Linked DNA regions of Lonchura striata. The protein of the gene in region 3 interacts with the protein of the main gene of each other region in a pairwise test. Links are inferred from orthologs where the notes say so. Each region holds a gene or a part of one and is shown on either strand. Other genes may lie near its edges.

The links.
Region 1: the proteins of CREB3 (region 3) and DNAJC30 interact in a two-hybrid assay, tested with the Homo sapiens proteins (2 studies listed by BioGRID and IntAct). The two-hybrid records come from large-scale screens. The link is inferred for Lonchura striata from reciprocal best matches to the Homo sapiens genes CREB3 and DNAJC30.
Region 2: the proteins of CREB3 (region 3) and FA2H interact in a two-hybrid assay, tested with the Homo sapiens proteins (2 studies listed by BioGRID and IntAct). The two-hybrid records come from large-scale screens. The link is inferred for Lonchura striata from reciprocal best matches to the Homo sapiens genes CREB3 and FA2H.
Region 4: the proteins of CREB3 (region 3) and TMEM203 interact in a two-hybrid assay, tested with the Homo sapiens proteins (2 studies listed by BioGRID and IntAct). The two-hybrid records come from large-scale screens. The link is inferred for Lonchura striata from reciprocal best matches to the Homo sapiens genes CREB3 and TMEM203.

What each region holds. Positions count from the first base shown.
Region 1 is NC_134622.1:3,876,813-3,884,339, reverse strand, and holds DNAJC30 (dnaJ homolog subfamily C member 30, mitochondrial), read right to left. Parts: upstream 2,766-7,527; coding exon 2,139-2,765; 3' UTR 504-2,138; downstream 1-503. Other genes in the region: BUD23 (18S rRNA (guanine-N(7))-methyltransferase), read left to right, coding at 2,966-3,013, 3,162-3,199, 3,400-3,495, 3,655-3,737, 3,816-3,912, 4,913-5,009, 5,380-5,430, 5,950-6,035 and 2 more. UniProt on the Homo sapiens protein: Mitochondrial protein enriched in neurons that acts as a regulator of mitochondrial respiration. Associates with the ATP synthase complex and facilitates ATP synthesis.
Region 2 is NC_134615.1:15,869,271-15,877,000, reverse strand, and holds the start of FA2H (fatty acid 2-hydroxylase), read right to left. Parts: upstream 3,020-7,730; 5' UTR 3,001-3,019; coding exon 2,734-3,000; intron 1-2,733. UniProt on the Homo sapiens protein: Catalyzes the hydroxylation of free fatty acids at the C-2 position to produce 2-hydroxy fatty acids, which are building blocks of sphingolipids and glycosphingolipids common in neural tissue and epidermis.
Region 3 is NC_134642.1:39,589,177-39,596,121, forward strand, and holds the start of CREB3 (cyclic AMP-responsive element-binding protein 3), read left to right. Parts: upstream 1-3,938; 5' UTR 3,939-4,349; intron 4,350-5,031; coding exon 5,032-5,169; intron 5,170-5,251; coding exon 5,252-5,510; intron 5,511-5,727; coding exon 5,728-5,840; intron 5,841-6,053; coding exon 6,054-6,146; intron 6,147-6,653; coding exon 6,654-6,760; intron 6,761-6,945. UniProt on the Homo sapiens protein: Endoplasmic reticulum (ER)-bound sequence-specific transcription factor that directly binds DNA and activates transcription. Plays a role in the unfolded protein response (UPR), promoting cell survival versus ER stress-induced apoptotic cell death.
Region 4 is NC_134624.1:5,297,574-5,303,107, reverse strand, and holds TMEM203 (transmembrane protein 203), read right to left. Parts: upstream 1,379-5,534; 5' UTR 1,145-1,378; coding exon 734-1,144; 3' UTR 502-733; downstream 1-501. Other genes in the region: NDOR1 (NADPH-dependent diflavin oxidoreductase 1), read left to right, coding at 3,190-3,324, 3,869-3,946, 4,225-4,322, 5,030-5,128. UniProt on the Homo sapiens protein: Involved in the regulation of cellular calcium homeotasis. Required for spermatogenesis. Acts as a regulator of STING-mediated inflammatory signaling in macrophages.

The DNA.
Region 1 (7,527 bases), on a different chromosome or scaffold from region 3:
GAGAAGAAGGGGCAGGACAGCAGGACAGTGCTAGGCTGGGAGCTGGTAGGCAGTCTGTGCACTTGGCCCAGCTCCAGCCACTTGCTGCCCAAGCTCCTGAAGTCCTTCTCAGAGCAGAGGAGCACTCAGGCCTGACCAGAGCAAAGGTGACACTGGAGATTTTAGGGCACCCTCCTCTGTCCAGGCAGCAGGTGAGTGCAGAGCACAGGGGATGTTGTCACCAGGGCACAGCCACCCCTGGGTGTCAGGCAGCACAGAACAGGACCTCCAGCAGCAGCAGGGATGGCCATGGTGCTCCAGAGGCCACCCTGCCCTGCTGCCTGCAGGCTGCATGCCCACCCCTTCCCAGCAAAGCAAAGAGAACTCCCCTCCCTGCCCTCTTCTTCACTGGCTGAAGTCAGGATGTGAAACACCTGCCTGTCCTCAGCCATGTTTTCCAGAAAGTGCAAGGAATATTTACCACCCAGGCCCACCAAAAGAAAGATGTGTCATTTTGTCACCAGTTTATGGCTGGATGTCTTTAATCTTCAAGATACATCACAGAGACCTGAGGAGGAAGAGGAAGAACCAGCAGCAGGAACTGCCAAACCCCCTGTTTGGGTGGGAGCTAGAGGACATGGCTGGCTTTTCCATCCTGGAAATTAATATTTCCTGCCAAACTCTGCCCAAAAAGCTACTTCTGATCTTTGCAGTGATTTGCTTTACAGAATGAAGATGAGCAAGACAATGCATCAGCAGGTGCCAGAGCCACAACTCCAGGGAGCTTCCCTCTGCAGCCAGGGCACACCAGGCTCCTATGTCTCCCACGATGACATCCAGTGCTGTGATCCCAGCTGAAGGGACAGGCTGGCACCCAGTGAGGATCCTGGAAAGCTCAATCTGCCCCTGGGCTCTTAGTCCAGCCTCTAGCGTGCAGCTGGAGGTGGCACAAGGCTGTTGGGAGCAGGCAGAGAGCAATCCTGCACAGCCAGCAGGCACGGTGGTCTCTGCTGTGCCACTGCCTCAGCTCTGAGCATCACAGAAATCCACAGTGGAAAACACAGGGCACTCACTTGTAACATTCTTGTGCTGGGACAAAGCACAACCCAGGGTCTGCGTGGTGAGGGAACAAGGGTTGGGCTCCTGCTCAGCCCACTGACAACAAACCCAGTGTCCCACACAGTCTTTGGCACGCTCAGGCCACTGCCATGAAGCTTCTCTCCCTCAGCTCAGGTAGCAGCAACATAGCACAGGTGAACCTTCACCCAAGGACAGAGAAAAGGTTCTGAGAAATACAATCTTTAGTTTTTAAAACACTCCATTATTTAAATAGGCAAAAACTCTTGTGCAAATGATGCTCAGACAGGTGTAAAATACAGAGAATAGCACTTGGTGCTCACAGGTGCACCACAGCCAAAAACCTCAGAGGGAGGGGATGTCTGAAATTCCTGGCAGGCCCTAGACAGGACAGAGGACTTCACCAAAGTGCCTTCCCACACCTCCAGGCAATGTCACACACTGACCAGGGCATGAGCCAGTGTGGGCTCGGGTTTCATTCCTCAAGTCTGGATCTAGGACTCCTGTCCCTGCCATTCCGAGCAGGCTGATGCAGTGGGACATCAGGAGCTTCCCAGAGATGCTGTGACAGCAGGTGTGACAGCACAGCTCTGGCATCAGCAGAGCCACCAGTGAATGCAACCCTGAACACACAGAGCACACAGCACCTCTGACAGCCTTTAATCTCTGCAGGCACACCAAGGTCACACAGCTGTGCCAAAGGAGGGGACACATGCCAGTCCAGAGTGCAGCAACTGTGCTGACTTGTCAGGCACTGTGCAGGTGGCACTGGCTGAGGGGGCACATCCAGAGCTCCTGCAGCACCTCTGCGAGGTCACGCTGAGTGGCACAGCACGGCCTGGCCCAGGCTGTGCCCACAGAGGGCATCCAGGGGCACCGTGTGTCTGAAGGTCACGCTGGCAGGGGCCAGCTCACAGCCTGTGGAACCTGCTGATGGATTCCTGTCCCTGAAGGTCACGCTGGCAGAGTGCAATGTCACAGGCTGGAGAGCAGGCACAGGGCGCTGCAGGGCACGGCCCCAGCCCGCCGCCAGGCTCCCGGTGACACCGCGGGGGCTGCCCAGCCCCGCCACGGCCCCGCCGTCACTTGAGGCCGTAGAGGAGAGCGATCCCCAGGAAGAAAAGCATCCCGATGGAGAGATCGGACAAGACCCGCAGGCGTCCCTGTGCCGCGGTCTCCTCCCGCCGCAGGCGCAGCTGCTCCCGGCGCGCCCGCAGCAGCTGCTCCCGCTGCAGCTGCTCCCCGTAGTGTGCGCGGTAGAAGGCGTCGAAGTCGAAGGGCGTGGGGACGGGCCCGGGGCGGGCGGCGGCGGCGCGGGGCGGCGGCGGGGCGGCGGCGGCGGCGCGGCCCGAGGGCCGGGGCGCGTCGCGCAGCTCCGCGGCGCTCAGCAGCCCGCGGTCGTACCTGCGGCGCAGCGCGGCGCTGCCCAGCACCCGGTAAGCCTCGCTGACGGCCGCGAAGCGCTCGGCCGCGGCCGCGCTGCCGGCGTTGCGGTCGGGGTGGTAGCGGAACGACTTCTCGTAGTACGCCGTTTTGATCTGCGCCGCCGTCGCCGTGGGCGGGACCCCCAGCACCTCGTAGAGGTCGCGGCGAGGCCGCGGGGGTCCGGCGGCGCCCGTCTGCGCGGCCCGGGACGGCGGCGGGGCGCGGCCGGGCCGCGGGGCCGCGGGGAGGAGGCGCCGCAGCCGCGCGAGCGCCGCCGGCCCCATGGCGGCCTGAGCGCCCGCCCGGGGCCGTGCCGCGGCGCGGGGAAGTGACGTGTGCACCGACCGGGCCGGCACGGCGCGGGGAAGTGACGTGTACACGCACCGGGGCGGCACGGCGCGGGGAAGTGACGTGTGCACGCACCGGGGCGGCACGGCGCGGGGAAGTGACGTGTGCACGCACCGGGCCGGCACGCGCGCGCAGCATGGCGGGCAGCGGCCGCCGGCCCGAGCACCGCGGGCCGCCCGAGCTGGTGAGTGGCGGCGGACGGGAGCGGCTCCGCCGGGGGAAGCGGGCTCCGCTAGGGGAAACTGGGCTCCTGTTGGGGAACCGGGCTCCGCCGGTGGAACCGGGCCCCGCCGGGGGCCGGGCCTCACGGCGGCCGCGCTCTCTCGTTGCAGTTCTACGATGAGGCCGAGGCGCGCAAGTACACGCAGAAGTACGGCGGGAGCAGCTGCCGGTCGTGGGGCGGGCACGGACGGGACCCACCGGGGCTGGGGGTGGTGCTGGATCCCGCCGGGAGCGGTGGGGATGCTGCCGGGGGGCGAGGGGCGACAAGCCCCGCACCGCCTCCCGGGGGTACCCCCGGGAGGCGGTGCGGGGGTTGTCGCCCCTCGCCCACGCTGTGCCGTGCCTCAGCTCCCGCGTGGTGGAGATCCAGTCCCAGATGTCGGAGCGTGCCGTGGAGCTGCTGGGGCTGCCCGAGGACCGCCCGTGCCTCCTCCTGGACGTGGGGTGAGCGGGGCTCTGCCGCCTCCGTGGCACGTCTGGGGCTGGGTGGCCCGATGCCACAGCAGCAGGGTCTTCTGTGGGCTGCTGGGACGCTGGGGTTGTGTGGCCAGCACAGCCTCAGAGCAGCCCCGTGAGCCCAGCGTTTCCCCTTCCTCCCTCCAGCTGCGGCTCAGGGCTGAGTGGGGATTACATCTCCGAGGAGGGTCACTACTGGATCGGCATGGACATCAGCCCTGCCATGCTGGGTGAGCACAACCTCCCCTGAGGAGACCCTCAGAGGCCCCAAGGGTGGCAGCTGATTGCCTGGGCTGTTTTCTGTGCAGATGTGGCCGTGGAGAGGGAGGTGGAAGGAGACCTTCTCCTGGCAGATGTGGGTCATGGCATTCCCTTCAGGCCTGGCATGTTTGATGGCTGTATCAGGTGAGTCTGTACAGCTGAGCTCTCCTGGCATCCCCAGAGCACCCCGATGCACACCTGGTCAGTCACAGGTGAGAGGCACTGGCCTTGTCAGCCACTCTCTTTGCTCTGTGCAGCTTGGCTCCATCACTCCAGGACAAACCTCCAAAATTCTGCATGTTAGAAGTAGCTTGTGACAGCTGCTTCCCAAGTGATGCTTATTCTTTTTGTGCTGGTGAGCTGGGAGTTTTGTTGAAGGAAAGAAAGTAAAACTGGGGGTATTGTCAGCGTAGAAAAGTCAGTTTTTGGATCAAGGTTTGATGCTTGGCTTTGGGATGAAGGGGACAGGGAAACTTACCTGCTTAGAGAACAGCTGGGAAGAAGCAAGGGCTGTCCATTGCTGAGCCAAAAGCTCTGTTTTAGATTGCTCCTTGGGAAAACCTGCTTGGCCAGGCAAGGGACACAGCTGAGCTCTCCAGCATCCCTCAGGAACTGTAATGATTGGACCCAGGAGTAAGGGGTTCAAGCTGAAAGGGGGAAAATTCAGGTGAGATACACAAAAGAAATTCTTCCCTGTGAGGGTGCTGAGGCCTTGGCACAGGTTGCCCAGAGCAGCTGTGCCTGCCCCATCTCTGGAATTGTCCAAGGCCAGGTTGGACAGGGCTTAGAGCAACCTGGTCTTGTGGGAGGTGTTCCTGCCCACAGCAGGGGCTGGAACAAGCTGAGATAAAAGGTCTCTTTCAACTCAAAGCATCTGTCATTTTAGGATTTGAGCACTTGGACTAAAGGGGATGCTTGGTGGTGCTTTTGTCCTTTAAGTTATGCACCTTGTTAAGTTTTGGCATAGTGAGCCTCCAGAGGGGTTTGTGTAGCTGTGAAACAGAAGGCAAAGCAACACAGAGGAAATTATTTAATTTCCCTGAGGCCCAGCACATGCCTAGTGCAGGAATTCAGCTCAAAGGGAGGTGGCAAGCTCTGTGAAGGAACCAGTGGTGCTGTCATGAGGGTCTTATTTTCCTTTCAGTATTTCTGCGGTGCAGTGGCTCTGTAATGCTGACAAGAAGTCACACAGCCCCCCCAAACGCCTCTACAAATTCTTCTCCACTCTTTACACTGCCCTGGTAAGTGCCACCCTCTGCCTGCCAAGTCTCTGCTGCTCTTATGTCTTTGCTTTTTAGCAAGGTACTTCAAGTCAGGTTGTTTTCAGTAATTGCTGCTCTGAAGCAGGACTGGCAGGAGCAGCCACTGCCTGGTGCTCTTTTCATCAAGGTTGGACTTGATGGTCTTGGTGGTCTTTTCCCAACGTAACAGTCCATGATTCTGGGATACCTGGTGTTCCCCAGTGCCTCACTGGCTCTGTGGGCTGGGCACCTCTCCTGGGAGCCTTGTCCTGGAGGTTTTGGGGAGGAGGGAGCTCATGTCTGGGGCTGGCATGGGGAGCCAGAGGGGGTGACCTGCACTGGGACAGGTGTGATCAGCTGTTTCCTGCAGGCCCGAGGATCCCGAGCTGTGCTGCAGCTGTACCCCGAGAACTCCGAGCAGGTACAGCCCATCAGTGAGCTGGGAGGGGGTACAGGCAGAGAAATCTTCTGGGGATCTGAATGCATCGTGTTCTTCCACATCAAGGCAGTGTCTCTGTCTTGCCTACCACTTCTAAAGCCCTTCAGGAGCCCAGGAAAATAACTTGTAAGGAGGAAACCTTGTAGAGGTTCTGTTGTTTCAGAGATTTGTCTTGGCTGAGCCTTAAAGTGGTGGGATACAATGTGAGTGTGGGTTTGAAGAGTGGCTTAACTCAGGTTTGGAAAATCCAGCCCAGTGTCCCTCTCCTAGAGAGTCTGCTGTGCCAGCTAACCTAGGCTGGACTGAGGAGGAGGGAGAAGCAACAAAGGCAGGGAATTGGTCTCTTGATGGGACTGCAGAACCAGAGATGGGTGCAGAGCTTAGCAGGAGGAGGAGCAGTCCCTCTTGGGAATGCCCAGTTAGGTGTGGTGCTCCCAGAGGTCTCTTGGGCTTTCCTGGGGGATGACTGGTAATTAACTTTGCACCTGCTGCTTTTCCCAGCTGGAGCTCATCACAGCCCAAGCCATGAGAGCTGGATTTACAGGGGGAATGGTGGTGGATTACCCCAACAGTGCCAAAGCCAAGAAGTGAGTCCTGGATCTCTGTGTGTGTTTGGGGTAAAGGGTGGGTTTACCAGTCTTTATTTTTTTTTTCCTTTTTTTTTTTTTTTTTTTTTTTTTTTTTTTCCCTGAGCTGTTCTCTCTCCCGTTATACAGTTCTGGACAGAGGTTAAAGTTTAGATATGACTCTGTTATAAACCATCTCAGTCTTGCCTGGGGACTGAGACTCACAGGCTGAATCCCACATTTATGCTCCTTATTCTTGTTCTTTCAGGTTCTTCCTCTGTCTCTTTGTTGGGACATCTGGCACATTACCAAAGGTGAGGGTCTCCATGAGGCAGCAGAGCTGCTGTCCTGGATGATGTGGAGGAGCTGTGGGCAGTGTGGGAGCCAAACAGCTCTGTGAGTGCAGATGTGACTTCATTTATGCATTTTCTGCCAGTCACCAAGCCCTGCTCTCATATAATCACAGACTGGGTTGGAGGGGACCTTACAGCTCATCCTGTTCCACCCCTGCCATGGCAGGGATATCTTCCACTATCCCAGGTTGCTCCAAGCCCTGTCCAACCTAGCCTTGGGCACTTCAAGGGATGGGGCAGCCCCAGCTGCTCAGGACAGCCTGAGCTAGAGCCTCACCACCCTGATAGGCAAGAATTTCTTCCCATATCCAATCTAACCCTTCCCTCTTTAAAGCTGTTCTTCTGACATCTGCCTTTTTTTGCCACGATTTTTGGAAGACCAGTTTGTTCCTGCTCTGGTCCTTCCCCTTGCAGATCCCTGCATTCCCCTTACTTTTGATAGGCTGTGCCTGGTCCAGAGGAGAACACAACTTCCCAATTTTGCTTTCCAGGGCCTTGGTACCGAGTGTGCCAGTGAAGAGCTGCACCAGGCAAAGTTCACCAATGAGAGGTATGGTGTGGGGGTGAGGCTGCAGGTCCTGCCCAACAAGGAGTAGGGGCCTTTGGGGGCTGAGCTTTACTGGGGATCACACTGCTGCTGTGTGAGAAGCAATGGGAGGGGAAGGCCAGGGAGGACTCACAAAACAGTTAGTCCCAGGACTCTTCCATGGGGCTGCAGGTGCTTTCCCTAGAGCTGTGGCTGAGCCCAGCACTGGGCTCTCCAGCTGGCAGTGGTGTGGGGGAGGGAATGTTTACAGGCTCATGATGGAGCCATGGAGGCAGGCTCCAGTGCCTGAGTCCTGACATTCCCTTTTAACTCCTGTCCAAGTCTTAGATGTGGCCTGGGGGTTTCTGCTGCTGGCCAGGTCTCTTCCCACAGCAGTGGTGCAGGGAGGAGCCCCTCTTGCAGCCATTGGGAGAGACAAAACAAAAACCAGAGGAAAGTTGTCGTGGCTGCCAGGAGCTTGTGGCTGCCATGTTTTCCTGCCTCTTACATTGCTGTTATCTGCTCACTTAGTCTAAGGGGTATCTGGTCTTGGAGGGCAGTAGCAGAGCTGGGAATGTTGTAGGAAGCCTGACTTTGTCTGCCTTGTTTGGAGCAGAGCAGGCAAGGGGAAGGT
Region 2 (7,730 bases), on a different chromosome or scaffold from region 3:
GGCATGTAGCATGAGGACACCCCAGGAGGTGCAGAGAGCCCAAGCAAGGTGCTTGCTTGTGGAGGCACCATCCCAGCAGCACCATCCCAGCAGCACTGTGGTTTGTGTTCTCTGGCTGGCAGAGCCCCACAAAGCTGTGTCTTAGCCCATTAAACCCTGGGTGCAGCAGGACTATTAAAAGGAGGTGAACTTATCTCCTAATCGTAGTAGTAATACAAAAAGTGACTTCTTGTTACATCACCCCCAAAGAGGTGCCCCAGGTGTCCCGCCTACATCCAAGAGTGCTCAGGCTGGGATGCAAAGCCAGGGAGAGCCTGACGTGCAGCAATACAGGCAAGAGAAAGAGAAGGACACTAAACCTGAGAAAGATGGAGGATTGTGACTCACACCAACATCATGCACCCCAAAGAGGCTGTGATGAAAGTCCCTCATTGCTCAAACTGGAAGGGTAATTAGATGATCCAGTTCCCTTCTAGCGAGGCTGTTAAAATCCACTGTCTAGTTTAGGTAATTACTGGTACTCGCTTTGATCACCCCTATATGTCCTGCTTGCATAGATAAAATGTTTAGAGATTAATTTGTCCTTAGTCAAAAAGATTTGGGTGATACAGAAAAGGGACCTGTGGCCAAAGGAGAGAGCCACAGGAAGGGGCATGGAGACACCAGTGGAATGAAGGCTGGATCTTCTTTATCTCTCCTGCATTAACACATTTTTCCCCCTTTCCAAAAATCCTGGAAATTTCTGAAGGAAGCAGAGGAGGATGCTGGATGCTTGTGGGACCAGAGCATTCTGAATCCCTCAGCATGGGGATGATGGAATCCAGCGGGCAAGGAGAGGCCCTGGCAAAGCTGTGGAATATAACACTTCCTCCAAAGACCTGTTTGGGCTACACCTGCCCCAAAGCACCCAAAGCATGAACCCAAGCACTACCAAGGACATCACCTCTCCTCATAGAAGATTTCTGGGGGGTGGGGAGTAGGGCAGAGCAGTTCACACATCAGTGCATGCTGGACATGGCCTCACTGTCCAGCAGGCAGTTCTAATCCCTGCCCTGTGTGGTTCAGGCTGGGATGGTTTATCTGGCAGCAGCAGTGTCTGATCTCCCTGCGCCCTGGCGTTATCACGCCATGTATTTGCATTGGGATGGTGGCAGCTCCCCTCGGCAGGAGAACCCGTTTGTCCGGTACCTTCCTTCGCCCCAACCCGTTGGGCTCGTCACACCTGCGAGGAGGCGGCTCAGCGAGTGTCCCAACAGAGGAGGTGCCACCGCCGGCATCCGTCCGGGGAAAACGCAGGCACTGCACCCAGGCTGAAACAAAGCCCTGTCTGTGGCGCTGGGGCCGAGGCTGCGCCCTGGGGAGGACACCCAGCGAGAGCAAACAACCAGCCCGAGGGACCGGCCGGTCACTGACCCCGCTGGGATGTCTAGAGAGGAACTGCTGGGCTGGTGAAGGGGGCCGGGCTGGCCCCTCTGCTCAGCATCCTGCCCATGGTGTGCTGTGAGGGCTGGTGGCTGGGTAGGAGTGCCCGGTGCTACCCGGAGGCTGCGGAACTTCCCCAGGGAGCTCTCTCTTCTGCCTGGACAGCACGGGACTGGCACAGTGGGGACAGAGCTGTGTGTGTCCCATGACATCAGGCAGTCAAGGAGATGGCTGGGCTCCTCTCCTCAGCAGTGGCTGCTCACCACTGGCAAACCCCAGTGCCCACTCTGTGCCATACAGTCCTGCTAAAACTGACACTGAGCTCCATCTCCTGCATTGCTCCAAAGACCCCAACATCTCCATGCCACACTGGCACGACAGATCCACCCATCAGCCCTGCTTCCTAGCATGGCCAGGGCGGGATGTGGCTGTGGAGTGGGACCCTGTAAGTACCCAGCTCTGTGCACTTGGCGCCCTGTGGGCCTCAGGGTCCCCTGCACCTCAGACCCCAGAGAACTCCTGGGAGCCAGGAGGCACATGGGATCTTGGAACCCTGCACACCTCAGGCACCACCCATGCAAGATCCCAGGAGACCCAGATATCCTCTGTCCTCTTCACCCTTCACACCCTGTAGATCCCAGACCCTACAGAGCCTGATTCTATGGGTCCTGTCCTCCTCAGACCCAACACACACCATGTCCCATACAGCTCAGACTGAGATTTGGGTGCAGTAAACACCTTACATGGTACATGCACTCCCTGACATGTACACCCCAAAGCCAATCCAGTCTCTGCAAGTTGGACTCTGATAAGCCTGGACCTGGAGTGCCCTACAGACCCTGTATGGCTCAGACTCTGCACAGTTTGGATCCAGGGTGCCCTACAGACCCTGCACATCTTAGACTCCATGCACTCTGGACTTGAGATGCTCTATAAACCCTGCACTACTCAGATCCCAGAGAGCACAGACCTGGGGTACCCCATCAAAACTCGATCCAGGACCTGGGGCACCCTATAATTTCGGTACATCCCAGTCCCAGGACGTGGGGTGCCCTATAGAACCACTGTACATGCCGGCCCTGGGACCTGGGGTACCTTAGAGACACTCTGAACGTCCCGGGATCAGGACACTCCGTACAGACCCTGCACACCCTGGGGCACCCTACAGCCTCTGTATCTGCCAGTTCCGAGACGTGGGGCCCCCCATAGCCCTTGTTCACCCTGGAGCAGGCACCTGAGGCACTCCGCAACCCCGTATATGCCCCCGGGCTCCCCTATAGCCCCCGGTCCCGGCTGGGCCCGCGGCGGTACCTGCTCGTCGCCGGGCTCGATGTCCCCCACGTAGTACTGCTCCAGCCAGCGGCGGGCGTTCTCCGAGTGCCGGTGGGGCGGCCCGTCCAGCGCCGCGCTCACGTCGGTGCCGGCGCGGCGGCGCAGCAGCTGCTCCCCGCCCGGGTGCAGCCGCACGAAGCCGCTCAGGTCGTACAGGCGGCGGTGGCAGGAGACCAGGCAGGCGCCCCGAGCGCAGCGCGCCCGCACCTCGGCGGCGCTGAAGGACCGCGGCCCCGCCGTGGCCATGGCCCCGCCGCCGCTCCGCGTCCCGTCCCGTCCCGTCCCGTCCCGTCCCGTCCCGTCCCGTCCGTCCCGCCGCCGCGCTCTGCCCGCACCTGCTCATCTGCATACATGCATATGCAGCCAGGCCCCGCCCCGGGCCGCGCCCCGCCGCGGCCCATTGGGCAGCCATGGGCGGGTGGGCGTGGCTGGGGTGCGGAGGCTCCGCCCCACCGCAGGTACCCTGGAAAGTGGGAATGAGGCATCCCTGGAGAGGCAGAGCGGGGCGAAGGGGGCACAGCGCGCCCAGAGGGTGAAGGGGGACATGGGGCGTGCCCAGGGGAGGGGACAGGGCCCCCCAGGGGCCATGGGTATGGTCAGGGTGGGGGAATGGGGGGTCTGGGCAACCTTGGATGGATTATGGGGGGCACCGGGGTACCCCGGGGTGGAACTGGAGTATGGGCATCCCTGGAGCAGGGATGAGGCTGTGAGGGCATCCTGGGGTGGTAGCTGGGGGGTATAGGGCACCCCTGGGGGAATCACCCTTCCCAAGTTACCAATCCCCTTCCAAGGTTCTTGGTGGCCAAGGCAGGGGACGCCCCAATCGTGGCTCAGAGTGCCCCAGAGGAGCAGGGTCCTTCCTGGGGTCACCCAGAGGTCAACTCATCCCAGGGTCACTTGCTGCCAGGCACCACACCCCCTTCCCAGCTGTTTGAAGATATATTTCAGTATTTAAATAAATTTGCAATTAGTCAGGGGGCAGGAGGCAGCCCCAAATACTCCAAAGAATCACAAGCAAATAATTAATAAAGAATGACAAGAAAGGAGTTTCCCATGCATTTTTTTGGGAAGATTTCCCTCTGAAGTGAGGGGGGCTGCTTTGGGGTGACACCCTTAACCACAGGGGCTGGCCACGTGCCAGCAAATTTGGCGTTGCCGGCCACACTGGGCTGCAACCAGTGATTAAGGTGGGGTTTGCCATCCCAGGAATGGGGAGCCCCCCCAGCCCCACCTGTAGGGGTGGGTCATCACACCACCTAGGCCCCCCGGCTTTGGGGTGCTGTGGGGCGCAGGCCAGGCATTCACTGAGGCCTTTAATCAAGGTGGATGCAAAACCTGCTGTGGCAGTCGGCATTGGCTCCACCTTCCCACCAGCTCCTGGCATGACCCTGTCACCTGCTTGGGGGAAAAGTCATTTTTTGGGTGGGCAGATTGGTTTTGCACCCTGATAGGAGCAGAAGGGTTAAGGGTGGGCATGCTCCTGGCTAGGGCTGCTGCAGGGCACCTGGGGTGCATTGGGAGTTCCTTGGGGTGGAGGACAAAAACATTTTCTGGGGGTTGAGAGGGCCAGAGTAGTCCTGAGAGATTGCTGGGAGACCTCAAATGAGGTGCTGGAGTGGGACACTCTCCAAAGGGGGCTCCCCAATACCCTCAGTGGCCAAGGTGGTCCTAGTTGTGACAGGTAAGCTCAATCCAGCACAGCTCTCTGGGGCATTAGGATGGCTTCTGGATGGACATTGAGGATTTTTTAATGAGCATGAGGGCAAGGTGGGGGGGGCAGATCTGAATGAGCTGGGCCTCTCAGCTGGAGGCCACTGCACCCAATTCCAAATCAGAGACCCCAGACTCCAAGCATGCTCAGGTGCAGTGGCCACTATCCCTCTGTGGGGTGTTGGAGGAGATGGAGATGGCTGTGATCCCATCACCCAGTCCCCACTGGCTGCTCTTGCTTGTGCAGCCCAGCCCTACCTTGGGTTTGGGGCCACAGGCTGCCAAGGGCCACCCTCTGTAATCACCACTCATGGCAGAGGTGGGTCCAGCCTTTGCCAGCCCACAAAGCCGCCGGGTGACCTGTGGGTCCCTGCTGCCATCCTCTCCCAAGCACACAGAGAGCTGTGGTCCTCAAATGTGCCACAGCAGGGCTCAGGGATATGAACCAGGCTCTTATGAGCTGACATTTCATCTGCCCATGTTACCTCCTGGGTGCTGTGGTGGGGCTCTGTCCCCCCATGCAAGGCACAAGGGTGTCCCTGCAGTGGGTGAGCCAATCCCCAGCTCTGCAGTGAGACTGGAGCAGCAGTGGGACCCTGTCACCTGCAGAGCAGGAATGCACTGAGCACAAGTGGCACTGGGAGAGGGACAGTACTGGGAGCAAACTGTACAGCAGATACCAGTGTAACAGGATCAAACTGGCAGCAGTTTGAATGCCAATGCCTGTCCTTGCTGGAGTTCTCCTCCCTGTCCCTGTCCCTGCACCATGCCAGCTCCAGGACAAGCAGGATCAGGAAGTGTAGTTGGTTTGCTGATCAGCCTGGCTGGAATGAGAGCAGCCAAGTGGCTTCTGGTCATCAGTTCCTAAACTGGTTTCCCCACCAGACGGACGGACAGACGCTGGGGCTGGCACACAGGAGACAGCAGGAATGTGCTGCTGGGCTTGAGGCAGGATTAGGCCCTGCAGTGCTGGAGGGGCTGATGCTGGGATAATGGAGCTGTGGCCATCAAGGAGGAGGAGGCCAATACAGACTCTGCTTGGTATTGCATCCATGGGAAAGGTTTTCCCTCTTTGCTAAACACTGTTTGTTTCTCTGCCAAACTTGATCATCAGGGATTAAACTTCTTTCTGTGTACATGGAAAGCCTCAGTGGGGATAGGGAAGGCACACCATACTTGTTACACCCTCAGTAGGAAAACAAATAGGATTTAAAATGTTGACAGTGGCATTTAGGGCACAGCGTGGGTTGTCGTGGGTGCCCTCTCCCTCTTCCAGCCCTGTCCTTGAGAAAGCTAATGGATACACAGGTAACAGCTCCTAGGATGCACTTGGCAGGCAGTTGAAGCAAGTTTTGGCAAGCAGCTGTTCAGGGTCAGACCTAAGGTCTTCCACCCTTGGCATCCTCCCCTGCACCGGCCTGGGAAGGATGCCAAAGCAGGCGTGGGGTGCGTGGGCATTTCTGCAGAGCACTGCTGGCTGGGCTCTCTGGACAGAGGTGGCCTGAGATGGAGCTCCTCTCCTTGGCAGCGTCCAGTCACTCCTGGAGCCCTGGCAAACCCGTGGCACCGGGGATGCCCTGAGGGAAGTGGTTTGACACCTCTCCTGCGGTGCCAAAGAGCGCTCCTGCCTGGTGCAGAGCAGCTGGTTTAATCCAATGCCCCCTTGCTCCTGCCCCAGCAGAAACCATGGATGGGTCATCCCCTGCCCTGCAGCATGACTGACCACTCTCCTGAGCACTGCATCAGCTGAAGGCTCTATCCAATTCACCTGGTTTGATCACAGCAGCATCCTCAGAGCAGGTCTGGCCCATGCTCACTGCCTGAGCAGTCCCTGCCTCCTCTCCCTTCTCTAAAGCTGAAATTCAGAGTGAGGTTTGGCCTCACTGGGGAACTTGTTGCACTTGGTACCAAGATATTACAGAGAGCAGGTGGGTGCGAGCACAGGCAGTCGGGGGTGGGCAGCACAGAGGAAGGGCTGCTGTGGGGCACCACCACGCTCCATTTCTGACCATTTATCGCTGCCCTGCACAGCAAAGGCAACAAGGTGTCTCGCTTCGGGCGGGAATAAGCCGCTCGTGTTTCCTTGCAATAGTCACTTCCGCACGCAGTGGGGCTGCTCCCAAAGGAGCCACCAGACACGCTGCAGGGTGAGAGACAAGCTGGCAGCATCCGGGAAGAAATTCCACCTATCTGTGCAGGGCTACACAAACAGCCACGGCAAGGGCTTTTCCTCTGAAGTGCCGGCCGTGCTCCGCCTCAGGGGCACTCACATACTACAGAGATGGACCGTAATGGACTGTAATAACACACTAAATACCACGATTTGTCGGTCCGTCACCTTTAAATAACAAATCTCCTTTCCCTTCCAAGCTACAGGAGCACTCAAGCATGGAAATGAAAATACTTGCAGGCTGAATGGCTGTCACGGAGGGAGGCGGGAGCCCTCTCCGTGCAGCTCCCGGCGAGGAGCGCTGCCCGGGGCGGCGGCGGCGCCGGCGGGACCCGCGGCGCCCGGGGCCGGACGGGGCCGGGCGCTGCCCGGGGCCGGACGGGGCCGGGCGCTCCCCGGGCCCGGGCGCTCCCCGGGCCCGGGCGCTCCCCGGGGCCGGACGCTGCCAGGGGCCGGACGCTGCCCGGACGCCGCCCGGGGCCGCCCGGCCCGCAGCGTGCAGCGTCCCCGGCTTTACCGGCAGCTCAGACACCGCCCGGCTGTGCTTTCCCAAGAGGAGCCTCAACCGCGGGCACTTCCCAGCCTGCTCCCAGGTGTCAGCACATTGTCCCAGCCAGGACCCAGCAGCGGCTTAGCTCTGGTGCGGCTCTGCTACTACCGAGCCCTCTGCTTTGGGGTGCAGGGAGAGCTGCTGGGGCCCCACACAGAGAGAGCAACACCACATGCTATCAGAACAGCACTTAAAAAAAATAATTTTAATGTTTTGTTTAAGATACATCATCTGTTTATTCCAAAGCAGGATCCCACTGCCTGAGCTAGCACAGGGGTTGGGAACGGGCATGGCACACGGCACCACTCAGCAGGCAAGCGTGGGAGAAGGGATCAGTGCTGGTACAGGTGGGGATAGCTCCAGCTGGCTCATCCCTGAGCACACATTTGCCCAAATTCAAAGCTCAGGCTGAAGCCAGCCCTGGAGAGGCACAGGCTGCATGATCCAGGTGTGCACACACTGCACAGCAGCATCCCTGTGCTGGGAGTGCCTGGCAGGCACAGCCCCAAACAGACAGATCCATCAGTACATTCTCCAGTTGATGCT
Region 3 (6,945 bases):
ACCCTTTTTGAACCACAGGCACGCTTCTGAGCCAATCCCAAAATGCTGAGGGGGAGGGGTTAACCTTGGTGGGGTCCCACCACTTCCCCAGGAGCTGCTGCGGCTTCCTCCATCTCACCCCACGCAAGGTGAGCAAAACCAAGACAGCGGTGGAGGCTCCAGGCTCTGCCTCAGAGCAGGGCCAGTGCAGGCAGGGCTGTGGGCAGACAGGACATGTGTGTCCCAAAGAACCGCGTCATTGCTGGGGACCACTGACAGTGAGTTTTTGGTCACACGATGGAATTACTGTATTTCTGTTGGATGACTTCACTGCTGAAGTAACAGTTACATTTGAAGGGTTTGCGTCTTAAAAGACAAAAAAAATTAAGCAAAATTCAACTGTGGACAGCTGGAACACTTGTGATGAGTTTCCAGAACAAGCTGCAAATCTTCAGATGCAACAGTTCTGCCATTTTTATTACGTTCTCTCTTAAGGGATACTTTGAAAGAGGTTTTGGAATGGGGTTTGGTTTTTCCTTCTTTTATGGTAATACCAAATTTCACCTGGGAAAGGCCCCACTGCAGACCACCTCTGGACTAGGAGCTGGCTGCAGGAAGCTTCATCAGCTGCAAACCATCCCAGTGCTGGGGCTTTCCACAGGCACAGCCCAGCCAGTACAGCCACTGGCACAGCTAGGAAGATACCAGGCCACCAAAACGCAATGTCTGCAACAGTGGCTTGGCCAGCATGTAAACATCTGCACACCATCAACACCAAAAATTAAGCTGGTAAGAAGCCAGACTAGGCTCTAGCTGGGTTCTCCTGTGTTCTCCGGTGCAGGACCAGTATACACAGCCACAGCAGGCAGAGGTAGGCAGAGCTCAGCCCTGCACCAATGGGAAGACTGAGCCAGCAGCCCCAGCTGGTTTAGTGTCACACGCTGCTGAGACCGTTCAACCCAGTTCCTCTTTCCCAGCTGCATGTCCACGTCAGATGGGAGGACAGTTTCTTCCAGCTGAGGCTGAGCTTGCTCCTGGGGAGCATGAGTGGCTGTCAAGGCCAGACACTGCACCCCCATGACCACTCCGCTGTTAGCCATGGCTAGGACAGGCGCATCCTCTCACTCCTTCAGGGAGAGCAGCCCTGTTCTGCATGGGAAATGGGCAGGGGCCAAACAGCTGGGCTGGAGGATCGCAGCCGCAGCCTGCCTGCCTGCTCACATGCACTGAGCTGAAGCAGCTCCAGCTATTGTCTGCCAATGTTTCACACACATCTCACATCCTGTCTGCTCCTGCTGGGCATCGCTTGACCTCCAAAGGAATGGAGCACAAATCATGGCACCTCTAGACTGCCCATGATGAAGGCAGGCATGGTGGGACCCCAGCTGCAGCCTCTCCTGCATCCTTAGCAAGCTGGCCCTCTAGCACAGGACTCCAAGAGCAGGAGTTGAGTTGCAGTGGATGCTGTCATGACCTCTGGAAAGCACTAAGTGCCCTGATCCAAGCACCCATGCTTCCCACAACAAGCAACTTGCCCAGCACTGTGCTGCTGGACAGGCAGAAAGGTGAAAGAAAGAAGAGAGCATGGCTGCATTTTTGGGTCATTTGCTGGTCAGCAGCCAGCAAAGCTCAGTTCTGAAAAGAAGGGCACCCCACAGGCCTCTTTTCATTTTCCTCAGCCTTCCCACTCCCCCTTCCCTAAATCTAATAGGATATGTCACTTTGGGGAGCATCAAATTCCTGCCACTGCCATTCAGCAAGGAAACTGATGCTTGGGTGGTACTTCCCATGCACCATCACAGATTCACTCAGCACTTGGGCGGTTTCACCCTATGATCCAGGGAAAGGCAGGTGGTCTGGAGCTTTTATTAGGCAGCTCACAGGTTTTGCAAAACTAAAGATCCCAAAAATATGCGCCCTTCCCTTCTCAGCAGCAAGGCACAGAGAGAGAAGGGAGTAAACAATTATCGCTACCAAATATGGGTCTAACAGGCAGCGATGAAGACACGGCAAAAGCATGTAGACATCCTGCCGGCAGATTCAAAGGGATGGGGAGCTTGCAGGGGCTCGGGCAGGATCCGGCAGGGAACAGGCAGAAGATGGGGCAGCGTTTCTCCCTGCTTGGTTAGTTGTCTCAGCCGGGATATGGTGGGGACCCAAGCCTTCCCCGATTAGGGCCAGTCCCACCCTGCATGGGAACCACCCCAGCGCCCCATCCTGGGGCCTATAGCCAGCTGTGTGTCCTAGTGAGAACTGTTCGGGTGACGTCCCTGGCTTCGGTGTGGTCACGGGAAGCCCTGGTGTCCCCACCCAAAACCACGCAGCAGGACACGGACACCCTTGCCACGCGCTTTTCCCCACGTCCCCGGCAGGGTGGGCGGGATGCCCCGGGAAAAGCCGCGCCTGGCCTACGCGGACTGTTGGCCACGGCCAGGCTTGTCCAGCTCGGTCCCCAGAGACCCCCGAGGTGGGGATGCTGGCCCGGGCCTCGCCACGGTGGACTCCAGGCCAGAGCCTGCTGAAGCAGGGCAAGTACAAGGCCGGGATAACGTGGCCGGGGATAACGTGGCCGCGCCAGCCCATGTTACCCCGGAGCCTCCGGCGGGTGTCGGTGCTCCGGCGGCGCCGGTGCCAGGGGCGATCTGGGCATGCCCCAAAGTCTGAGCGAACCCCGGAAGCCCTCGGGTCACCGCAGCCCCACGGACAAACCCCGGTTGGAGCAGGGAAACCCCGGTAACCGGAAAGCTGCTTCCTCCCTACCTCCCCGCCACGTACCGGGGGGGTGCAGGGCAGGGTCCCCAGGACATCCGTTTCCGGCAGCCCCCCGAGACTCAGGGCCCTACCGGTCCGCAGGACCCCACTCCGCAGCCCCCAGCCCCCGGTTACCGGGACACCGAGTGTCCTCCGTCCCCGTACCTTTGCGCGGGCAGGAGCAGCGCGGCGGCCCCGCGTCGCTGAGGGGAGCTGAGCGGCCGGCACCGCCCGCTTCCCGCCCCCCCCACCCCGCCACGCGCATGCGCCAGAACGCGGCGCCGCGCTGCACGGTGCCTCGGCGCTGCGCTCCATCCGGACACCGCGCCACGGGCAATCCGCTCCCACGGACAGCGCTCTGTACCCGCACGACTCGGCCCGACGCCCCGGGGCTGGTCACGGTTCCGCGCCCGCGCAGCGTGGCCGTGCTCCACCTGCTGCTCACATCGCACTCCCGGGCGCCCGCCCGCCCCGGGACACCCCCGGGGCTCGGCATGACCCCGGACCCACCGCCCTCCCTTCAACCCGTCTCCCCCATTCCCTCCGCTCCCCTCTTTTCCCGCCCCGCCCCGCGCTCCCGCCGCCCGCGCGCGCTCCCGCCGGCCACGCGCCCCCCTCCTCCTAGCCAATAGGCGAGCGGTGCGTCAGCGCGGGAGGAGCCGGGGCGGCGCGCGCGGGGCCCGCCGGGACACTGGGTGGCGTCACCGCGGGGCGTTGGCAGCGGCGAGGCGGAGGTGAGGGGCGGCTGGGCGCGGGCTCGACCGGGGGTCGGGGCTCCGCTGCTCGGAGGTCCCGGCGGTCCGGGCAGCCGGGTCCGGCCCGCAGCCGGGGCTGAGACGGGCTGCTTGGTTCTCCTCGGGTGGATGTGCCCGCCCCTGCGCTCCGCTCGCCTTTCTGCCGCACCTGCTCCTCCTGTTCCCGTCCTGCCCGTGCTGCCTGCCCGGCGCACGCTCCCTGGGGGAAACCGTCTGTGGAAGCCATGGGCCCTGACATTGCCCGGATTTGCCCAGCTCCTCTTCCTCTTGTTGCTGAACTTTCTGCTGACAGCTCTCCCCTTAGTCAGCTGGCTCAGCAGTCCTGGCTGGGGACTGCGCTGGCCCTCTGGTTTTGGGAGGGGTTTCAGGTGGTTTTGGTGGTATTCTATTTTTTCTGGGTTTTTTTTTTTTTTTCAGACCGTGACACTTGACAGCTAGATGTGAAAGCTTAGCAGTGCTGATGGAGAGGTGCCATGGATGCCTGTGCTCTGACAGCCTGAGTGGTGCCTTGGCTCAGGCATCGCCCACAAGCCGGCCGGGCTGATCCCGCCGAGAGCCATGCGAGGCCGCATCTCCTCAGGGACCGAGGCTCCTGGGCCATGCCTTGTCAGGACATAACAGCAGCAGCCCGAGCTGGGACCAGGCCAAGCTAAAGCTGCCACAGCCACGCAGGTGCACAAGCCCCAGGGCAGTGTTTGGCTGCAGGTCCCTCACTGCCCTCCCCGTACCTGTGGCCGCCTCCAGCCGCTGAGCTCTGCTGCTCTCACGCCGCTGGGCCCTGACGTCCCTGGCAGCAGGGACAGCTCTCCAGGTCACTCCTCAGGGCAGAGAGATTCTTTACCAGTGTCTGATCTCTACAGTAAGGTAAGGAGCATTTTACTTTCAGCCTAAAGGTATACTGTGTGCTAGTGACCTTTATATATATCCATCTATTTATTTGTTTCATCCCCTTACTTATTACGAGTGTGTTAAACAGTACTGTGTTTGACAGCTGTCTGAATTGCTAAGTCATCATATAGGTCTGTCAAATCACTTATTAATTACCTTTCAATGATCACTTAATCACCATTTGATTGCCATTTAATTTTTGCTCAGTCATCGATTACTTAGAATTTGATCATGATTTAATCATTAACAGAATCCCTTTGGTTAAAACCTCAGCAAAGACTGTTCTTAATTTTCCTGGCACAGGAAGCTCTCGCTGCATACCAAGGGGTATGGCACCTTCAGGTTTCTGTGGAACAGCAGAATCTTGCCTGCTCTCCACACCATTAAGTCTGGGATTGTTTCATTTTTCCTGTCCTTTCTGCAGCTTTTATGCTCTGGGTGGAGCATGGCTCCTGTGGCTGGGTCCAAATAACCTTGTATTGTCACCATTGGTGCTATAATGGCAGAAGGAGATGTTACCTGGCTGGAGAAGTACTTGTGAACTGGCCATTCCTGCTGTTGACATTGCATGGGGATACTTCATAGGGTCTGAGGGACACCTTAAAGCAAGGCTGGTGTCTCCTGTTGTGTCTGTGCTCACTTTGGGTGTCCTGCTCAGATGTCATGCCCAGAGGAACTGGATGCCCTGGCAGATGTGGATCTGCTTGACTTTCTTCTGAAGGAGGATGCTCCCTGCCCTGAAATCCCAGGGGAGCAGAATGGTCTGCTGGAAGACTGGGGCCTGCCAATGCCTGAGGTGAGTTCTTTGTAAGGAATTGCTGCTGAGCTGAGGTTTAGGAGGTTTGTCTCCCTGCTGAGTAAAAGCTATTCCTCTGCAGCTCCTGGACAAGGAGATGGATGACTTCATCAGCTCACTGCTGAGCCCTTTAGAAGATGAACCAGACAGGCTCAGTTACTTGCCTGCCAACAATGACAGCAGCATTTCTGAGGATCAGCTTCTGTCCCATTGCCTCAATAGCAATTTTGCGAGCCGAGACATTGTGCACGTTGATCATAACTACTCCCTTCATCAAGAGTGGCCTACACTGGAAAGTGTGAGGTCTGACATGGCAGAAGGAGATGTTACCATTGAGCTAGGTGAGTGATGTTACGGACTCTTTGTGCCCTGGCTGCAGGCAGAAAAGAGAAAAGTAGTCCCATACTGGTTTGTTTTGGGGGTGTCAGGCAAAGATGGAGAGAGCCAAGATTAAAGGCTTTCTGCTGTTATAAAATTGCTATTTCATGCCACTCAAAGCTGGCTGGTCAGGTGCTGCCTCAGTGAGGCCCAGCATTTGACTCATCTTTCCTTCCCCAGGGGCATGGGTAGGTTTGGAAAGTACAAGTGAGGCACTGGAACAGAGCACCAGTTCCCCCGTTGCTGTTGCTGTGGAAGATGAACCCCAGCTTGTGCCTGGAGCCATTGTACAGGTACTGACTCCCATGCCTGTGGACCCCAGCCTTTGCTTCTCACATTTCTCCTTCTCTTCTGACTTGGCTCCTGTGAGGGGTATCTCTGAGGGAAAGCATGACATTACTTTGGAAGAGCTGATTCCAGTTCTGTGTGTTTGCTATGTGCCCTTGCTGGCGGATGGACTCCCTGTAGTATGCATTCTCAGTAGGCTTATTTTTGCTGTTTTCTAGTCTGACTTCCCAGAGCTGGTCCTGACAGAGGAGGAGAAGCAGCTCCTGGAGAAAGAAGGTGTTACATTACCAACCTGTCTGCCACTGACCAAAGTGAGTCCTCACTAGAACCATGCAGACCACTCTTAATGTATCAGGTATCGTAGGGGTTTGAAACTGCAGGACAGTGCCTTGATGAGAATATGTTGTCCAGATGCTGCATTCCAGGCAGTGTTCATCTGGGCTCAGTGTCCTTTTCCTTCTTTCGAGTCCAGGGCATTGTCCATGTGCACAGCAGCTTCTGGCTGCTGTCAGTCTCCAGACTTGTGGCTGTTTGCAGGAGGCAATTACACCACGAGTGCCTGCAGCTATTTTTTCCTGCTTGCCTAGTGGCTTGTGGTCTGTGTGCTTTTCATTTTCCTTAGGTACGCCTTACTTTTGCTGAGTCACGGAAGCTGCTGGCTGCACCAGCAAGGCCAGGGTTTGCCTTGCAGTTTATTCACTGGTGTACGAAGGACAGAGGACACAAGCACTAGGGCTGAGGATTGATATGTGAGCGCAGTCTGAGAGGGTGGGATTGCCAACACCCTGGGATTGCTGTTAATGAGGTGAACCTTGCAGGCTGAGGAGCGAGTTCTGAGGAAAGTGCGTCGTAAGATTCGGAACAAGCAGGCAGCTCAGGATAGTCGTCGCCGGAGGAAGATCTATGTGGATGGCCTAGAAAACAGGTATGGTCACACAGGAGTGTCACCAATACTGAGGGGACCCGTATGTTCTTTTAAGGGATCCTTGGCAGAATGATGATGGCCCTTAATTGTCATTTCAATCAGAACTTCATTTTCCTATCATGTTATGATTAATATAGCAGAGGATTTGTGATTACAGTGGCACAGTTTTTCTACAAGCAGAATCA
Region 4 (5,534 bases), on a different chromosome or scaffold from region 3:
AGCTGGAGGGACCCAGAGGGATCATCAGTGCAGCTCCTGGCCCTGCAGAGACAACCCCACCCTGGCATCCCGGTGACACTGGCACTTCACACACTGGTCTGCACTTCCACAGGGAATACTGAATTCCTCCTGTTCTCTGGGGGGGCTGGGGGCTGGTTACTGTAGATCCCCTGGTACAGCCCAGACCCCTGCACGCTCCTGCCTCCCCACACCCCCATTTCTGAATGTAGGAAATGGAGTGAAACACAAAGAAAAATCATATTCCTGTTCAAAAATACACAAATCAGTGATCTCAACCTGACCTCACAAACCCCCAGCAGAGCACTGAAGGTATGAAGTGCTCGGGGAAGTGAGGGGACAGATGGAAATCCATGAGCCAGCTGCAGGGCAGGGCAGGGGTCTGGGCTGTACCAGGGGATCTACAGCAACCACCCGCCCTCCAGGCAGCAGTCTGAGGTACAACTGTTTTATAGGCAAAAAGAATCTCAGAAATAAACCTAATCCTTCAATGCATTTTTATTCTAAAATAAAATAACTGTCATGCCCAGCCGCTCTCGCAGGACAGGACAAGGAGCTGAGGGGGCACAAACAGGGATGTGCAGCTTTTGGAGAAACGTGATGCTCTGCACCACAGCGGCGAGCTGGGGCACTGCCCCTGTCCCCGCCCGTCACCTGCCCCTCCGCACGGCGACAGCGACCGCAGCGGCCCCGGGCCCGGCCCCCGGGCCGGGGCTCAGTTCACGCGGCAGGCCCGGATCATGAGCAGCTGGAGCAGGATGAAGACGGGCGACATGATGAGCCCGTACCACAGCTCCCGCGTGTGCTCCACCAGCTTCTGGCACAGCAGCATCTCGAACACGAACTTGAGGCTGAGGATGGTGAGGATCCAGAAGAGCCGCAGCACCGCCAGGCGCTTCTCGCCGTCCTGGAACAGCCGCACGGACACGATGGTGGTGAAGTAGGTGCTGAGCCCGTCGGCGGCGAAGAAGGGCACGAACACGATCCACCAGGAGAGCGCGGCGGCCGCGCCGTCCACCTTGAGCACGAGCAGCACGGAGAAGGCGAGCAGGGCCAGCCCGTGCAGGAACAGCTCGAACGTGGCGAAACCGAGCCACTGCACGAGCTCGCGCAGGGAGAACAGCATCGTCCGGGGCTACGGCACCGGCCCGGCACCGGCACCGGCACGGGGACAGGCACGGCAGCGGCACGGGCACCGGCACGGGCACGGCACCGGCACCGGCACAAGTCCCTAGTCGGGCACCGGCCCCACACCGGCACCGACAGCGGCACGGGCACAAGTCCCCAGCCCGGCACCAGCCCCACACCGGCACAGGCACCGGCACAAGTCACTGACCTGACCCAGCCCGGCCCGGCCCGGCCCGGCCCGGCCCGGCACCGGCACCAGGCCCGGCCCGGCCCGCCGGCGCGGGGCGATGGCGTCACGGTGAGAGGCGACGGACGGATGATGTCATCAGGCGGGGACACAGTGAGCGGGGGCTCCCAGCGCCTCAGCCTCGCCGATGACGTCAGCGGGAGCTGTCGCGCGGCGGTGACGTCAGAGGCGGCATGGAGCCGGTCCGCGGTGAGTCCCGCAGCGCGGCCGGGCCGGGCCGGGCCGGGGCTGCTCTCCGGCAGGGGAGGGTTCCCGGGAGCCTGAGGGGGCTCCAGGAGAGCTGGAGAGGGACTGGGGACAGGGGATGGAGGGACAGGACACAGGGAATGGCTCCCACTGCCAGAGGGCAGGGATGGATGGGAGATTGGGAATTGGGAATTGTTCCCTGGGAGGGTGTGAGGCCCTGGCACAGGTGCCCAGAGCAGCTGTGGCTGCCCCTGGATCCCTGGCAGTGCCCAAGGCCAGGCTGGACAGGGCTGGGAGCAGCCTGGGACAGTGGGAGGTGTCCCTGCCATGGCAGGGGTGGAATGAGCTGGGCTTCGAGGTCCTTTCTAACCCAAACCAGTCAGTGATTCTGCGATTTTATTTTTTATTATTAAGATTTAATTTAATACTATTCTGTGGGCACATGGTGGTGGCAGCCGTTTGCAGCTCAGACAGAGCTGCATTCCCTCCGGGCTGGGCCCTTGCTCTGTCAGTCTGGCCGAGAGCTCCGTGTGCTCTCTTTGTCTGTGCTGAGCCTCCAGGCTCTGCCCCAGCCCCCTCAGGGGAGGGAGGATTCCCAGGGCACACGGGAAGGTTACACCAGGACTGGGGAACAGGCAGTCCCAGAGCTGTGCTCAGCCTGTGCTGGCGAGGGCAGTTCAGCGGGGCGGGATGTGGATTTTAGTCCCTCCCTGGCCTGGCAGTGGGGACGAGGAGCACAGTAGCGTCCCTGCTTATTGTATGGGCTGGGACATGGGATCACACCCTCAGTGCTGCACAGGGGTGGGAAGAGAGCCTGGGAGCCTTGGCCCCACAGCTGAATGCCACCCCTGTGGCCCACTCTTGGCCACCCCTGTGCTGGCTGCATGCTGTGTCAGCCCCGGGATCAGTGCTGCTGGGCCCGGGCAGCTGCAGCCCTGACTCCCTTCCTCTCCTGCCCTCTGTAGGAATCCAGAGCTTCCCTCTGGCTGTCCTGGCAGGCCTGGGACCCTGGCAGGGGTCAGGAACCCCCTGGACACAGCCCCCAGAGACACTGTCTGTGATCTCTGTCCATGGAAAAGAGTTTTCAATCTTACAGGATGAATTATAACCCCTGAGTGTTTGATATAAGCAATAATTAAGTGTGGCACGGGTGCAAAAGTAAAATTTTAGGATTCTAGATTAGGGGTCCAAAGGAGGCAAGACGGAGGAAATTGGGTGTGTCTTGTCCTTTTTCTCCTTCTTCATGCCCTCCATGTTTCACTGTGGTGTTGGCATTTTTCTGTTGGTTCAGGCTGGGGACACACTGTCCAATGTAGGTGACAGATATTGGCACGTTATTGTAAATCCAGCCCAGGGAGTTTCTGGTATTGAATGTTTGTCACATCCCACTGAGGGCAGAGCCCCACACGCTGCCCTGCAGGACAGAGCTGGGCAGGGCAGCAGAACATGTGAGAGATAAACAGAATAAACAACCTGGAAACCAGCACAGACCAATTATGGCTTCTGCTTTGGCAGTGGGGCTGACAGACAGAGACTTTCTACAATCTCAGAATCATCAATACCTCAGATTCTGACACCCTCTGCTGACCTCCTGCTCTTGTCTCCTGCAGATGGCAGAACGGGGACTCCTGGTGCTTTTTGGCAGCCAGACTGGGACAGCTCAGGACACGGCCGAGAGGGTTGGGAGAGAAGCCCAGCGCCGGCACCTGCGCTGCCGGGTGCAGGCCCTGGACAGCTGTGACGTGGTGAGTGGGACACTCACTGCTCCGGGCACTGCCCTGCTCCAGCCCCATGGGCACCAACACCTCCCACAGCACTACGGAATCGTGGAACAAGCTGAGTTGGAAGGAACCCATCAGGATCATTGAGTCAGCTCCTGGCCTGCCCAGGACACCCCAACAATCCCACCCTGTCCCTGAGAGTGTTGTCCAAACACTGTTGAACTCAGATAGGCTTGGTGCTGGTTGCTCCAAGCCTTCCCCTGCCTGGGCTTGGACACTTCCAGGCATCCAGGGGCACCCACAGTTTCTCTGGGCAACCTGTGCCAGAACCTGGTCACTCTCACTGGGAAGAATTTCTGACTTAAACCTGACCCCCTTCAGTTTATGGACATTCCCCCTTGTCCCCAGTCCCTCTCCAGCTCTCCTGGAGCCCCTTCAGGCCCTGGAAGGGCTCTGAGCTCTCCCTGGAGCCTTCTTTTCCCCAGGCTGAACACCCCGAGCTGTCCCAGCCTGGCTCCAGAGCACTTTGGAGGCTGCTGACCTGACTGTGCCATGTTTGTACCCACAGGCCAACCTCATCCACGAGCCCTTGGTGGTGTTTGTGTGTGCAACCACCGGCCAGGGAGACCCACCTGACAACATGAAGGTAAGATGTGCTTCTGTCCTGTTGCTTTTATGTTCCTGCTGCAGAGCTGTCTCTCCTGAAGCAGCTCGAGCAGGGGTTGTTCTTGCTGGGGCAGCTTTGCAGCAGCATCACTCACATCCCAGGGAGCAGGAGCAGGGGCACTTCTGCTGAAAGCCATGCTCCCCACTCTGCTAGGATGCAGGAGGCCCCAGCGGGTGGGTGGGTGAGCAGGGATGCAGGGCCAGGCAGGCAGGAGGGTGCCTGACAGCAGCAGGACTGGCCAGCTGTGTCTGTCCTAGATGTTCTGGCGGTTCCTGTTCCGGAAGAACCTCCCTGCCAGCTCCCTGTGCCAGCTGGACTACGCTGTGCTGGGCCTCGGGGACTCCTCCTACCCCAAGTAAGCAGCTCTGCAGCCCCTGGGCAGCTGCTCCTCACAGCTCTGACTGCACTAGAGAGCAGAGTGGCTGGAGAGCCAAGGGGGTAAGGGGAGACAGAGTCTGATTCTGGAGCAGCAGCCCAGACAAAATGTAACTCCCACCAGCCTTAAAAATCCTTGCCCTACTGTGTCCCTCCTCACCCCCAGGAATTAGGCATCTGCCCTTTTCTTTCCTCCCAACCTCACCAAGGATTCTTTGCTGCAAAGGGTCAGACATAATGTGTCAGTCTTTTATCACAGCTATGGGCCAAGGCAACAGGGGACATCAAACAGAGGTGGCAGCCAGCCACGTTGGTCCCAGGTCTCTCCCAGAAGGTTGTTCTGTGTGCCTCAAAGAGTTCTAGTGGGGAGGATGGGTGTGCCTGGGCTCTGTGGGGCAGTGGGGGGCTGGAGGGAAGGAAATGTTCTATGGCCTAGGGCACAAGCTGCCCTGAAAAGAAGCTGGACCTCCCCTTGTCCCATCTTGGGGATGGGCAGAGCCTGTGAGGGCCAGCAATTGGCACTTAGCTGGGTCTGTGAACTGGCATAGACCGGGCAGGGCATGGGCCAGGTCACAGTGCTGGCTCTGCCTGTGTGCTGCTCTGGTGGCCCTAGCAGCATGTGCTGGTGCTGTGGCAGTGCCTGCTGCACTGCTGCAGCAGCCCTGCCCTGTGTTATTCTCTGCTCAGGTTTAATTTCATCGCAAAGAAGCTGCACAAACGGCTGCTTCAGCTCGGGGGCAGCCCGCTGCTGCCAGTGGCCTTGGGAGATGACCAGCATGACCTGGGGTAAGAGCCCAGAGGAGGGTTGGCAGGGGGGCCCTGGGATGCCCTGCAGCTCTGTCCTGGGGCTGATGGCAGGGCTGTGTGCTGCTCCCACCTTGGGGCTGCTCCAGCTCTCTAGGAATGTGCTGATCTCTGCTCATAATCCTCCTGTGCCAGGACCTGGGCTACCTGCTTCTCCAGGGTGTCCCATGGCCCCCAGAATGTGGCCATGACCCCTGGCTCAGTCCCAGACCTGTTCAGAGCAGGGCATGGCTGTGTCACACAGCCCTGTACCTGTGGGCATTGCAGCATCCTCAGCTGTGCTCACCTAGCACGGGGCAAAGGCTGTGGATGGTTCAGGGACAGTGACCCCAGTGACTCAGTGCTGCTCAGGACTGGAGATCCTGTTCAGGTGTTAGTGGTTGGGTCC